3 linked regions of the Tribolium castaneum genome follow. The protein of the gene in region 2 interacts with the protein of the main gene of each other region in a pairwise test. Links are inferred from orthologs where the notes say so. Each region holds a gene or a part of one and is shown on either strand. Other genes may lie near its edges. The genes, in order: beta-arrestin-1, dx and N.

Region 1 (4,206 bases), on a different chromosome or scaffold from region 2:
AGCGAAATAGAAGTAGGTGTGTGTGGGACGACAATCGAAATCGCCCGGCCCACCGTATCGATTATTTTTTACGATTTGTAAATACTTACCACCGGTAGCCGGTATAACTTATTTAGGGATGTTCGCGGAACTCGATCAATAAACTTTTAAATCGTAATTAGAGCCCTAGCAAATTTCGTTTTAATTAAAACCGGGCTCGTGGCTGGGGCGGCGAATCTAATTACATCTTAATTTTTGGCGATTTTGCGGAATTTACGGCGCTACCCCCGAGCGTAATTGCGGTTTAATATTACATTTGGGTGATAATGGTCCGTGGGACTCACCTGGTAGGTGTTATCGAAGCTGTCGTACATAAACCTTGTTATTAGCGACGTTTTGCCAACTGGAAAAGAACAATCAATTGGGGCGCTTGATCACTGAATAAAAAGTTATCAGTTTTATCAAAACATAACCTAGAAATGATCTGTCATGTAGGATGACGAGTGGTCAAGTCGGGAAAATCGATATGAAAAATGAAGCCTCGTCCAGCGTTTGCCAATCGATTAATTATAAAACAAATAGGAGGAATGTTGCGAAACATGACTTTTATTGATCTTTTCACGGGTCTGCTTGAAAGTTTACAACTCATCAAGAAACGTCAACACTCACCACTTTGTTCTCCTAAGAAAACTAGTTTAAATTTTCGCAAGGGATTACCAAAGTCTCCTGACGTCGACATTTTTGTTAAAAACTTAACGATTCTTTTAAAAACCCTGCAAATTGCGAATTTCACAGTAAAATATCACAGGAAAACGAACTGTACCGACTAAACCAATGACAGAATACGCCACGGTAGCGACTCGAAGTGACTGCAACACTGCGCATGTTACATTTGGGAGTGACCAAAAAAATTAAAATCATAAATATTTTACATTGGACTAATAATCAGGCCCCAAAAAACTGATCCGATTCGTGAAACTAACCCGCAAAAAAGCCCATTTAATCCACCCGCACTTTGCGCGAAAAAACAAATCGGGACAAAAACGTTCACAATGCCAGTCCGGGCCAAAAATGCTCGTAATTAACAATTCGGTGCCAATTTGTAGCTTAATAACTTTCAAATTCAAAATTGCAAGCTTGGGTTTGAAATTGGTGCGCGTGGCATTGCCACGAAATTCCCCTAAACGGGTGTATTAAGTTGGCTACAAGTTCAAAATCTGGTTTTGTTTCCGCAGTCTTTGGTCAAAATTTTGGTTTTTTGCTTGGAGGCGGCCCTTTCGGGCGCCGGGGCCGGGGCCCCACGTCGTGGCGGCGTCCTGGGTGTGCGTGCCCATGATGGTCGGTTGGCAGGTCTGAATCAGCATGCGCTTCAGTTGCTTTATATCCCTACTCCACTCCCCAGTTTTCACAGTTGGGAAGTTGGACAAGGCCCAAGGTGTTCCAATGGGAAGACCATCGAATTGTTTGGGGTTGTGAAATCGTAAATTTGTGGTTATTCACCGGTTGGTCCCGGTGCCCGAAGTCCACCCTCCCTGGGGCGCCTCCTCGCATAGTGCAGTTCTGTTGGTGTGCATTGGACGTGTAGAGTTAAATTTTAGGCACTTCCAGGAAAATACTGTACACGTAAGTGAAAATCGGTGGTTTTTGGGATCAGTTTTTGGGTTTGAAGGTCGGGAGGGTTATTTTTGTTGTGTGGCTGTGACGAGTTGTGTGAGAGGATTTAATAACCTGCAAAATTTTGGCTGCGGTGGAATTTCGAGATTTGGTTTTGGATTTATGTGCCATTAAATTAATGGGCCGTTCGTAAACAGATCCCTTTTAATTAGGCCAGGACGGTCTAGGAAATTGATTCGGGATTGGAGGGCATTCGTGTGGCTGTTTTTGCGAGCTGGATTGATAAAAATTATCTCACGTATTTCAGAAATCACATCGGTTTTTATGACGCAGAGGGGCCCCTTGTAGTCAATTAAACCTCATAAAGATATTAGATTAACTTGAAGACTACGTTTCGATTGGCTCGGGAGTTGTAAGGGCAAATTTTATTGATACCTATACCTTGCCAGATTATATGTGTGTGTTTAATAGGCAAATAAAGATAATATTGTACAAGATACGGCTCCAGTGCCCACCTTTAAACAACCTCGGCTCTGAATCATAGGAGATGAGGAGTTGAGTTCACTCGGAAAAGTCTCCTGCAATTACTTAGGTGAATCATATTTCCCTTTAAAGTCAGTCCTCTTTGACATCTCGAATAAATATAACAAACGATACTCTGCGAAGTCTCAAACTTCGCTAATCAACACCGGCGTTTTGTTTTAAACTTTCCAAATTAATTTCAGCTATCTTTTCATCAAGTCATGTTTAGCCCGAAATTGATTTATAATATTTATGAGAGTGAAAGAGCGGAGAATTATCTCTGACCGAAGCACATTAAGTAAAAAGGCCCAAAACCCACAACCCGGTTATTTCCCAAAGGCCATTAATTCAATTTTAATCAGTCCGATCTTAAATTTTCATCGAAATCAATCGAAAAGTTCGTCAAAGCGGGCGAACCCTCCGTGTGGCAATTAACATTTTGTTTGCAACTAACCGAACTTGATTCAGAGTGTCGTTTCAGGTCCGTCAAAATGATTTTTTTAAATTTCGGTTAAAATGCGTAGGAGTAATTTTTTCGCGTCGGTCCAGAGCTGGTTTTCGAATTTGTACAATGCTCGGATGGGCCACAATGAAATTGACAAAGAGGTGAGTTGTGTGGTTTTCGGCTTTTTAATCAAAGATCAGGCTAATTGCTCAGAAAATATCGTTTAAGCTTGCACCTGATTGGCCGTATAAACGAAATTCGAGTGAACTGATCACCTCGTTACACCAGCACGTGATGTAATATCGACTCTTTGATTGCTCTTTATATTGGTTCATCAGCAAGTCGGCCTTTATGGAAATAAAGCAGGAGGGAAAAATTACTTTTCTATCACATATCAGACTCCTGCATCAAATCGAATAATCGTCAGCCGGGACCAAACCCGGGAATTCCACTTCAACGAATCACTTTTGACGGTTTCATTGAATCGATACATTATCGCAATTACCTAATATTTATCAAATACACAAGATAGCGAGCGAACTAAGAAGAGTTTCGACGATACTGGGAGTCATTTGGACTTGTTAAACACCATTAAAATTATTGTTAATTACAGTGTAATAGCGATGATAATTCCTAAATAAGTGTGACTGCGCGGAATGTTGTTTCATTAGTTGTTGAAACCGAAAGTTGTATACAATATTTTTTCTAAGATTAAATGAAGTCGTTAAATCGGGCGCAATCGGGCAAATATTTAAAAATAAAATTTTATGGTGTAAATAAATATAAATATTGTTGATTTAGCATTGCGCCTGATGTTTAACCAGCTCCCAGGCCCAGAATTGCGATTCTAAGGTGTTTAAAGAATGTACTGTAATTGTCGCTGAATAAATAATTAGGACAGCGTTTTCGTCATTGTGTTATCGTTTGTGGTGTGGTTTGCAAGACGTCACGTTTTATCTATTTGTTAAGTGTGGTAATACATCCGAGTTTAATTTTTGATTTGTTGATCGGTCGAAAGCAGCGAAACGGCTGTAAACAAGTTTGAAAGGGTGCATTTGAATTGAATAACGATACATGCTCCGAAAGATATTTTGTTGCTATTTTTGTCGGTATTGTCTGGTGTATTGCGTTTTAAGCTCGAAAATCCATTTGATGTGAAGTTTAATTAGTTGCTAGGTGCGTCCATTTGAATAAATTCGAATTTATTTGTATTTCCTTGGCGTTTGAATCAATCATCGGTCAAGTGGCACCGGCGACGAATCGACGCTGATTTTTCCCATTTTAGTTTTATCATACGCTAATTAGATTTTATCGCGTTGGACATATGGTCTATCGCCGGCAAATTTTCATGTCAATGTCATGATTATGGAAATGGCGAGTTTTCAAGTCATTTTCTTCCTTTGTTTATCTGGTTGTTTTTAAACGTCGATTTCCTTGCATACTAATACTTGCGTCAACAGCATGAATATAAAAAATCAGCGGCGGACAACCGTGACTGGAAATTTTCGAATGCGAAAATGCAAGGCACAACTCACTCGGGGCCTAAAAGCTCGCGCTTTTAATTAAATTTCGCGACATTATTATGTTCTTTTGTGTTTAACACGCTCGCACTACCCTACATTTAAATTCGGTTAAACTTGCCCGAT
Region 2 (4,249 bases):
GCCAAGTCACTAATCCACACAATTTTGTTAAAAACTAGCCGAAAATCACGAAATTGGGCGGAAAACAGAGTATACTCACACATCGCGGACGCTGTCCGGAAGGGCACTCTGCTTGATAACCTTAGGATTTGATATTCCATTGAGGAACTGTTGCCCCGCACATAAAATTTTGTTATTAAGTTCAACAACTTGGTTTCGCTTGTGCTCATTTAGGTGAATCCCACACTGTTCAAAATCAAACAAAAACAACTTCCCGACCAGGTTATCAACCTCGGTTGTTGGCACTATATCTGTTGTATTCACAGCAGTCTTTAGAGCCTCATACATTTGAATATTAGTGTTTAATCTAAAAATAAATTTTAAATAACCAATTTTTGCCCATTTTGGGCCCACCTTTCGACTAGTTTACTTATGGCAACTGACGTGTGCTCCGCTGCCGCGATGTACTCAGAAGACGGGTGTGCAAATCGAATAAACTCAGCCAAATCAGCCACTTGGCACAAAGAGTCAGACAATTCGTCAAAAATCTCAACCATTTTGCGCTTTCGGTCGCTCGAAAGGGCCTCACGCACCAAATCGTCGGTTTTTTCAACGCATTTTTGCGTAACGTAGTAAAAACCCTCATGGGTGGTGAGTTGGGGCACCCCAAAGAGGCCCTAAAACCCCCTCAATGTATATCCCCTCACAAAACAATACCGCCGAGTTACTTACAACATTTTTTGTCACTATGTCGAGGTTTAAGCCCGGTTTGGTGTTAAATATTTTTTCTAGAGCTGACCATCGACTAACATTGCAGTTTGAGGTTGTGAGAGTTTTGAGGAGCTTGAATGATAAATTCGTGGCAAACATTTTCAAAGTTGCGTTTGTAACGTGACGTCTGATGTGGTTTTAGCAAGATTTAACGTTCCGTAAAATAGAAAATGATGTTTTTGTGTGAGACATTGTACATAACCTAAAAAATCACATCACAATAAAATTACATAAAATGACACGGCACCTAATTTTAATTAAAATGTAAAAAACTTACGGTTAATTAAAATGGGATTTGGGTGAAAATTATGCAAAAATGGGTTTTTTAAAGTTACAAGAACTTTGGCTTTTTTTGACAGATGATTGTGATTTTGTGTCTACAAGACGTAGCATTATATGCCCCATGTACTTACAAAAAACGGACATTTTCCCTTGTCTGTAACCAAACTAAAATTAACGAAAAAAAGAATAAAATTTCATAACTATGATCAGTTTCATTCCAGTAACAAATGAATTAGATTAGGATTAAATAATCATCTGTCGCAACGTCTCGTATCCTGAATGCCTCATCCCACAAATCCCACAAATCTGATGACGTAACAAATGGTAATGGTTGATGGTTTGTTAACAAGTTGTCACAAGTGCTCATTTTTTGTTTACAAAATAAAATCCCGTCCAATTCGCTTTTTCGTGAATTGAGTTTATGTTGTTATCAGCGTTATCTAATCACAGAAAACAAATGAGTGTAGTTTTGGCGCAGTTTCCTGTGTTTAAAAAACAATTGAAGTTGGGGTCATGATGTTAATTAAATGATTGGTGAGTCTCGGTAGTTTTTAAGCCAAAATTTGGTAAAAATGAATGAAATGCTACTCCATCCAGACGGAAAATTATTTCTCTGACTTTTAATTAATAACTGGAGGAGATTTCGGCATTAAATCATTTTCCACTAGTTGGCTGTGATTACGGACGAGAATGACAGCTTGTTAGTGGGATAAATTATAATTTAATTGTTTTATTGTGTGCGTTTTAATTTAAATTGAGGAAATTAAGAGAGTCATTGTTATTAAAAAGTGTAATTAACAACTCGCATGCGGATTAATAATGCAAATGTACACAACGGTGCATAATTAATGCGAGGCAAAGTGGCACGGATGTGAATTGTTGGTTGCATACGTTACAAATTAAATTTGCTTTTTCAATTCAAAACGCGGTTTTGTGCTTATTAAATCATTCATAATTCACTCAAAGCCAGTTTTAACAGACTTGGAAGCGTCCAAAACAGATGATTTTGCCGATTTTCGGCCAAAATGTCGGGCCACGCTGTGGTCGTATGGGAATATGAGACTAGACCCGGCTATTGGAAGCCCTACAGCCCTGCGGTGACCCAGCATTTAGAGCGAGCAAATGCCAAACAACTGACTCGCGTGCTTTTATCTGACGCCGACCCGACCTTGTTCAACTTTTATGTCAATTTGCGCACTTTGACACAAGTACAAGAGGAGACAGGTATAAAAAAATATAAAAAAAATAGTCAAAAAAAAAATAAAATTGTTAGATGAGGTTGTCAAAGTGCGTCGCAAGTGTTACCCGCCTTCGTCTCCGGCCGGAAAAGGGGCCAAGTGGGAATGTGTCGATCCGGAAAATGGCACCGATTGGCACCCCTTTGATATGGACATTCAGTGCCTTATCGAGGAGGCTTGGGCTAATGTATGGTGTCTTTTATTTTATTTTTTTGTTGGTAACATTTTAAGCCTTCTTCTTAATATCTGAATCCTTGATTATAAACACTTTTTTAAAACACGTTTCCGATAGCAATGTGTTTTCACTATTTTAAAGCACACTTTTCATAGCAACGTGTTTTAAATTAAAATGTTTCAACAAAAAAAAATTGAATAACACTCATACGAAAACGCTTAAAGTTTTCGGGTGTCTTGGTATGCAACTCGCATACGCTCGTTGCATAACGCCAGCCCTAGAACTTTAAGCCTTGCACTTGTATTACAGTTTTTTTCCTTTGGTGGTTATAGGGGGACCAAAACATCGACATGAGTAAAACTCACTTAGGTTTTCCGTATTTGATTAATTTTAGTAACTTGACACAAAGATGGCTGACCAACGGCCATGTTCGAAGTGTCAGACGTGTCAAACAAGCGCCATATCCGTTAGTTAAGGTTAAGTTAGAAGAAATGACGTCTGTGACCGGTCGACGCGAAATTGCAAAAAGTGCCAAAAATGTCACACAACCAGTACAAAAAACAATTGGTAGTAGTGCCGCCTTAAACGTCGTCGAAACGAAACGAAGTGCCAATAAAAAACGATCACACAAGCCAAAGAACGGGAATGAGACCAGTACTACCAACCTAGCTAGAGCAATATTAAATAATTTAAATATATTTAGTAAGTTATTACAGGTTCCTGTAATTTTCTCTTACTAAACGACTCACTTTAGGCAATAAATCGAGTAGTAATAATTTCACCTCGAATTCTGAAAACCGTACTCATAAAGAATCACTTTTGGACGCGGACAGCAGTAGTACAAAATCAGGCCGAAGGCCGAGTCTTGACACTGTTTCGACCTATTTAAGTCAAGAGAGCCGTGAAAGCCAAACTACAGTTTCCACCACTGATTTGCTGCAATGTAGCAGCGAGGACGACAATATCGATCACGACCTACTCTCGATAGTTGGTAACACTGTCACACTTTCCCCTAGCATCGTGTCACATTTAAAAATCCTAGGTTTGGACCCGGCTAGTGCAATAATCTCGAAATACGTGCGGGTGTCCCAACCGTGCGAGTGGGCCCCCAGACAGCCCTGCCCCACGTGCCGGCAGCCCCTGCGCCCCACGTTAGTCGTGGTGGCGTTGCCCTGCAACCACGTGTTGCACCTCGACTGTCTTAACTACTCCCTGACCGAACAACAGGAAAATGGGGCACATTTGCATATTGATTGTGCGATTTGTGGCTGCGTCTACGGGGAGAAGCACGGGAATCAGCCCCCCGGCATCATGGAGTGGGGCTTCGTCGATAAGCGACTCCCCGGCTTCCAGAACTACCGCACGATTCAAATCGTTTATAAGTGAGTATGCGCCACCTGGTGGTCGATTTGGGGAACTAATAAAAACGCGGGGCAATTTGATTTTTTGTTCAGTATTCAGTCGGGGATTCAAGGGCCGGACCACCCCCACCCAGGGAAGGAGTACTACGCTGTGGGGTTCCCCCGCGTGGCCTATCTGCCCGATTGTCCCAAAGGACAGAAAGTTTTACGGTTATTGAATATCGCATGGCAGCGGAAGTTGATTTTTACGATCAGTAGGTCCAACACAACAGGTTGCGAGGATGTGGTCGCGTGGAATATACCGCATAAAACCGAAATTGGGCCGAGTAATAGTGCGCATAGTTACCCCGATTCGGGGTACTTGACGAGGGTTTTGAGGGAGTTGGAGGCGTTGGGTGTTGTGGAGGAGGACGGGAGATGAGGTTTGATTAGTTAGGTTAAGT
Region 3 (3,652 bases), on a different chromosome or scaffold from region 2:
TTTGTCAAAAGTTGAATAACTTGAAAATGGAACACTCAATATTTTGTTCTTGCTTCTCAAACATTATTAAATTGTCTATCTAAAAAAAAGTTAATAATTAAAAGATAATTTCAGGAAATTTCATTTAAAACTTTTAAATTATTCAACAAAAAAATTAAGGTTGTTCCATTGTGTTGTAGCTAATTTTAGAAACACGCTGTAAACTTGAAAATAATTTTCGTAAAAAAAGTTTAATTTTCTAAGGACAGCCTGTATGTTTGTGGAGATGTACTGTAATTTTTTACTTACGTGAAGCACAATCATCCGTATTAATACTGCAGTCTTTTCCTTCATAACCCAGCGCACAAATGCAATGGTACGACCCATTGGTATTCTTACAAGTGGCGCCGTTTCGGCACGGTTTCGAAACCACACATTCATCGACGTCTTGATCGCAAAACCGCCCCGTATAACCCCCGCTACAAGTACACGCAAAATCCTTATAATTCGAACTTGGCGTACATTTCGCGTTATGCCGACACCGGTTCGGTGTACACGGATCCAACTTATCTTCGCACTTACGTCCAGTAAACGGCAATTCACACACACATTTATAATCATTGACTTGATCAATACACGTGCCACGATTTTTGCACGGATTAATCGCACAATCATCGATATTCGTTTCACAATTAATGCCAGTATAACCGGGTAAACATTCGCAAGTATAGGAGGCGAGATGATCGTGACAAATGCCACCGTGTTGACAGGGATTTGACGCGCATTCATCAATGTTGATTTCGCATTGTTTACCACTGTAACCTGGTAGACAATGACAGATGAATTGATTGACGCCATCCTCGCAACTGCCGCCATGTTTGCATGGATTTGAATTGCATTCGTCAACGTCACTAAGGCAACGAGCGTCATAGTAACCACGTGGGCATTCGCATCGAAAACCGTTTATCATGTCGATGCAAACGCCCCCATTGGCGCACGGGTTTGAAGCGCACTCATCTATGTCATTCTCGCAATGTTTGCCGGTGAATCCCGGAATACATTCGCAGTTATAACTGAAAAACAAACACAATTGGCATTACAGTTTCCTGTATTTACTCCATTAATTATTGTTAGTAAAACTACTTACTCCCTACTGTACGCATGTAAAAAAAAAATCAATCGGTTAGTGTATGTTATACACGGCGATTCTTTTAGGGCCTACATTAAAAACTTAAAAAAAATCACATTAGCCTTGAATTGTGACAATTGACAATTTTCTCAAACCTTAGGTTATCAAATTAAAAAAAAACATTCACTTATTGTAAAAAATTCAACGACATTTTAAATAAAATAAACTCCAGCAAATAAAAATTTTAACAAAAAATTGACATATAATTGTTTAAGTTCTAACTATATTAGAATAGAAGCATGAAAGTTTCTAATGTAGGTTTTGAAATAACCGGTTATAACCGTTGACTTACCTATTAATTCCATCGACACATCTTGCATTATTCCGACATGGGTTACTGTAACATTCATTGACGTTGATCTCGCAATTCGGTCCTGAAGTCCCGGCTTTACACAGGCATTGATAACCGTTGACTAAATCCTGACACAAGCCGCCATATTGGCACGGATTCGATTCGCATTCGTTGATTTGATATTGACACAGGTAACCGGTGTAACCGGGATGACACGTGCAACTGAAGGAATTTTCACCATCGAGACATTCGCCATGTTGGCATGGCGACGATTGACAATCATTGATGTTTGTTTCGCATGACAAACCGGTGAAACCTGGCGGACATTCGCACGTGTAACCGGCAATTGAATCATGACAAGTGCCACCATTTCGACAAGGCGATGAAACACAATCGTCGATATTGATTTGACAACGGGAACCGGTGAAACCGATTGCACAACTACATTTAAACGAATTGATGAGGTCATGACAGACACCGCCGTTAAGGCAGGGCTGATCTTTGCATTCGTCGATGTCAATTTCGCACTGGGTGCCGGTGAAACCTGCAAATTTTTTTAAGTTATTTTTCCCCATTTATGAAATTGATTTAACTTTGTCTTGTTTTATTTTGCGAAGAATAAAATTCTAGCTAATCAAATCGCTTTCAGATCCAAATTCAATTAAACCTCTAAAATCTAGTTTGTTTAAAAACAAAATTGTTCACGTTTCTTCCAAAGCAGACTACGCAAAAATGCTTATTTGCCATTTTGATCAGCATGTAAGATTCAATCATATCATATGATACACCGTTGGAATCAGGAATAAAAACACTTTTAAAAAATACAAACAGTGAATATGGCCAAAGTTGAGTATTGTAACTCGGACATCAAGTACGCCTTGGAAAATATGTCCTAGTTATTTTAATTTTCGATTGAAAAAATTAAAACAAAAATTACAAATTTTTTTGCAATAATTCAAAAACTAAAAATGACCCTGGAGACGAGTCGCTCATGTTGCAAAGTGGCGGGAATATTCGAAAATAAAATTCGCTTCGCCTCGCTCAACCATCTTATGAATTAAGTATAAACCTTTATGTATCGGTAACGGTTGTTGTGCAAGCCTTCTCTTGTAAACACGCCCAACCGCTTATGCTTTCACGATATCCATCCAACACAGCCTTCTTCGACTATTCGTATTTTTCTCCTCCCACGTTTCAAATCTCCGTCAACAATAAACGTTTTATAAAAGAATGAAGAAAAAAAATAGCCACGAATAATTACAATCAAATCTCATCACGCGACCTGTAATTGAATAAAACGCCGCTTAGATGATGAAGAGAATCCGCGTTCAATGACACACGAATTGTTGTTTCGTTTCGAAATTTATTTCATCGCGAGAGAGAAGCGCATCGAATTCATTTGCATAGTGGTTTTCAGTTTGCTCGAGATTCATTTTTATTTATTTATTTTATTTATTAACGATGATGATAATTGGCCTCATTCTCATATAATAACGGTGCGATCTTTTTCATCGCTTGAATAATGCATGCGTTTGAACGTAATTAAATTTTTTCGAAAAAACTATGTAAACGTTTCAAATGGGTCGTGTCATTTCATCGACCGGTTCTTCTAGCTTTAATTATCACCAAAGTGAGACATTTTTCTCAAAGAAACAACATTTTTTCAGGCATGACTTACGAGTTCGTATCCTATGCAAAACAAGAAAACTGTGCTTATTTCCGGTTAAACCTGATTTGTTATTACAAATTAATTAACCCTTTTTTCCCCGACCCGGACGAGTCGGCCCTGCCATCGTTGCCATAGAAATCTATACGTAACCATGGTTATAAACGATATTTCAGTGACAATTGACATTTGCACCAGTGGCGTAACATTAAAAATTTAAAACAAGAGCCAAGCTTGATCAATCCCGCCCATATCTCGTACCACCGTAGGCAAAAAGTCGTGTCGATACTGTTTGTAGCTCGCAAAAGCAGGTCGAAACACATCGTTCACATGCCTCCAAAGTTCATCTAATTATTACCGCGAGAAACGAAATCAAAATTGTCTCGATTCCAGTTCATGTCACCGTTAAAAACTACCAACAAAAAGTTTTACGTGTAACTCACCTGGCATACAAACGCAACGAAATGTTCCCGGATCATCCAAACAGGAGCCATCATTGTGGCATGGATGCGATTCGCATTCATTT

Evidence for each region.
Region 1: the proteins of dx (region 2) and beta-arrestin-1 interact in a two-hybrid assay, tested with the Drosophila melanogaster proteins (2 studies listed by BioGRID). The link is inferred for Tribolium castaneum from reciprocal best matches to the Drosophila melanogaster genes dx and krz.
Region 3: the proteins of dx (region 2) and N interact in binary tests that used the Drosophila melanogaster proteins (3 or more experiments, as listed by UniProt). The link is inferred for Tribolium castaneum from reciprocal best matches to the Drosophila melanogaster genes dx and N.

What each region holds. Positions count from the first base shown.
Region 1 is NC_087403.1:1,772,947-1,777,152, reverse strand, and holds the start of beta-arrestin-1, read left to right. Parts: upstream 1-1,355; 5' UTR 1,356-1,602; intron 1,603-1,900; exon of another isoform or gene 1,901-2,185; intron 2,186-2,596; 5' UTR 2,597-2,631; coding exon 2,632-2,721; intron 2,722-4,206. Other genes in the region: ras-related protein Rab6, read right to left, coding at 324-382, 649-718.
Region 2 is NC_087399.1:6,222,364-6,226,612, forward strand, and holds the start of dx (protein deltex), read left to right. Parts: upstream 1-1,356; 5' UTR 1,357-1,566; intron 1,567-1,998; 5' UTR 1,999-2,057; coding exon 2,058-2,256; intron 2,257-2,305; coding exon 2,306-2,457; intron 2,458-2,777; coding exon 2,778-3,147; intron 3,148-3,199; coding exon 3,200-3,436; intron 3,437-3,487; coding exon 3,488-3,827; intron 3,828-3,899; coding exon 3,900-4,227; 3' UTR 4,228-4,249. Other genes in the region: mitochondrial intermediate peptidase, read right to left, coding at 80-346, 394-656, 712-849.
Region 3 is NC_087400.1:111,143-114,794, forward strand, and holds part of N (notch), read right to left. Parts: coding exon 3,570-3,652; intron 2,005-3,569; coding exon 1,461-2,004; intron 1,053-1,460; coding exon 289-1,052; intron 1-288. UniProt on the Drosophila melanogaster protein: Essential signaling protein which has a major role in many developmental processes. Functions as a receptor for membrane-bound ligands Delta and Serrate to regulate cell-fate determination.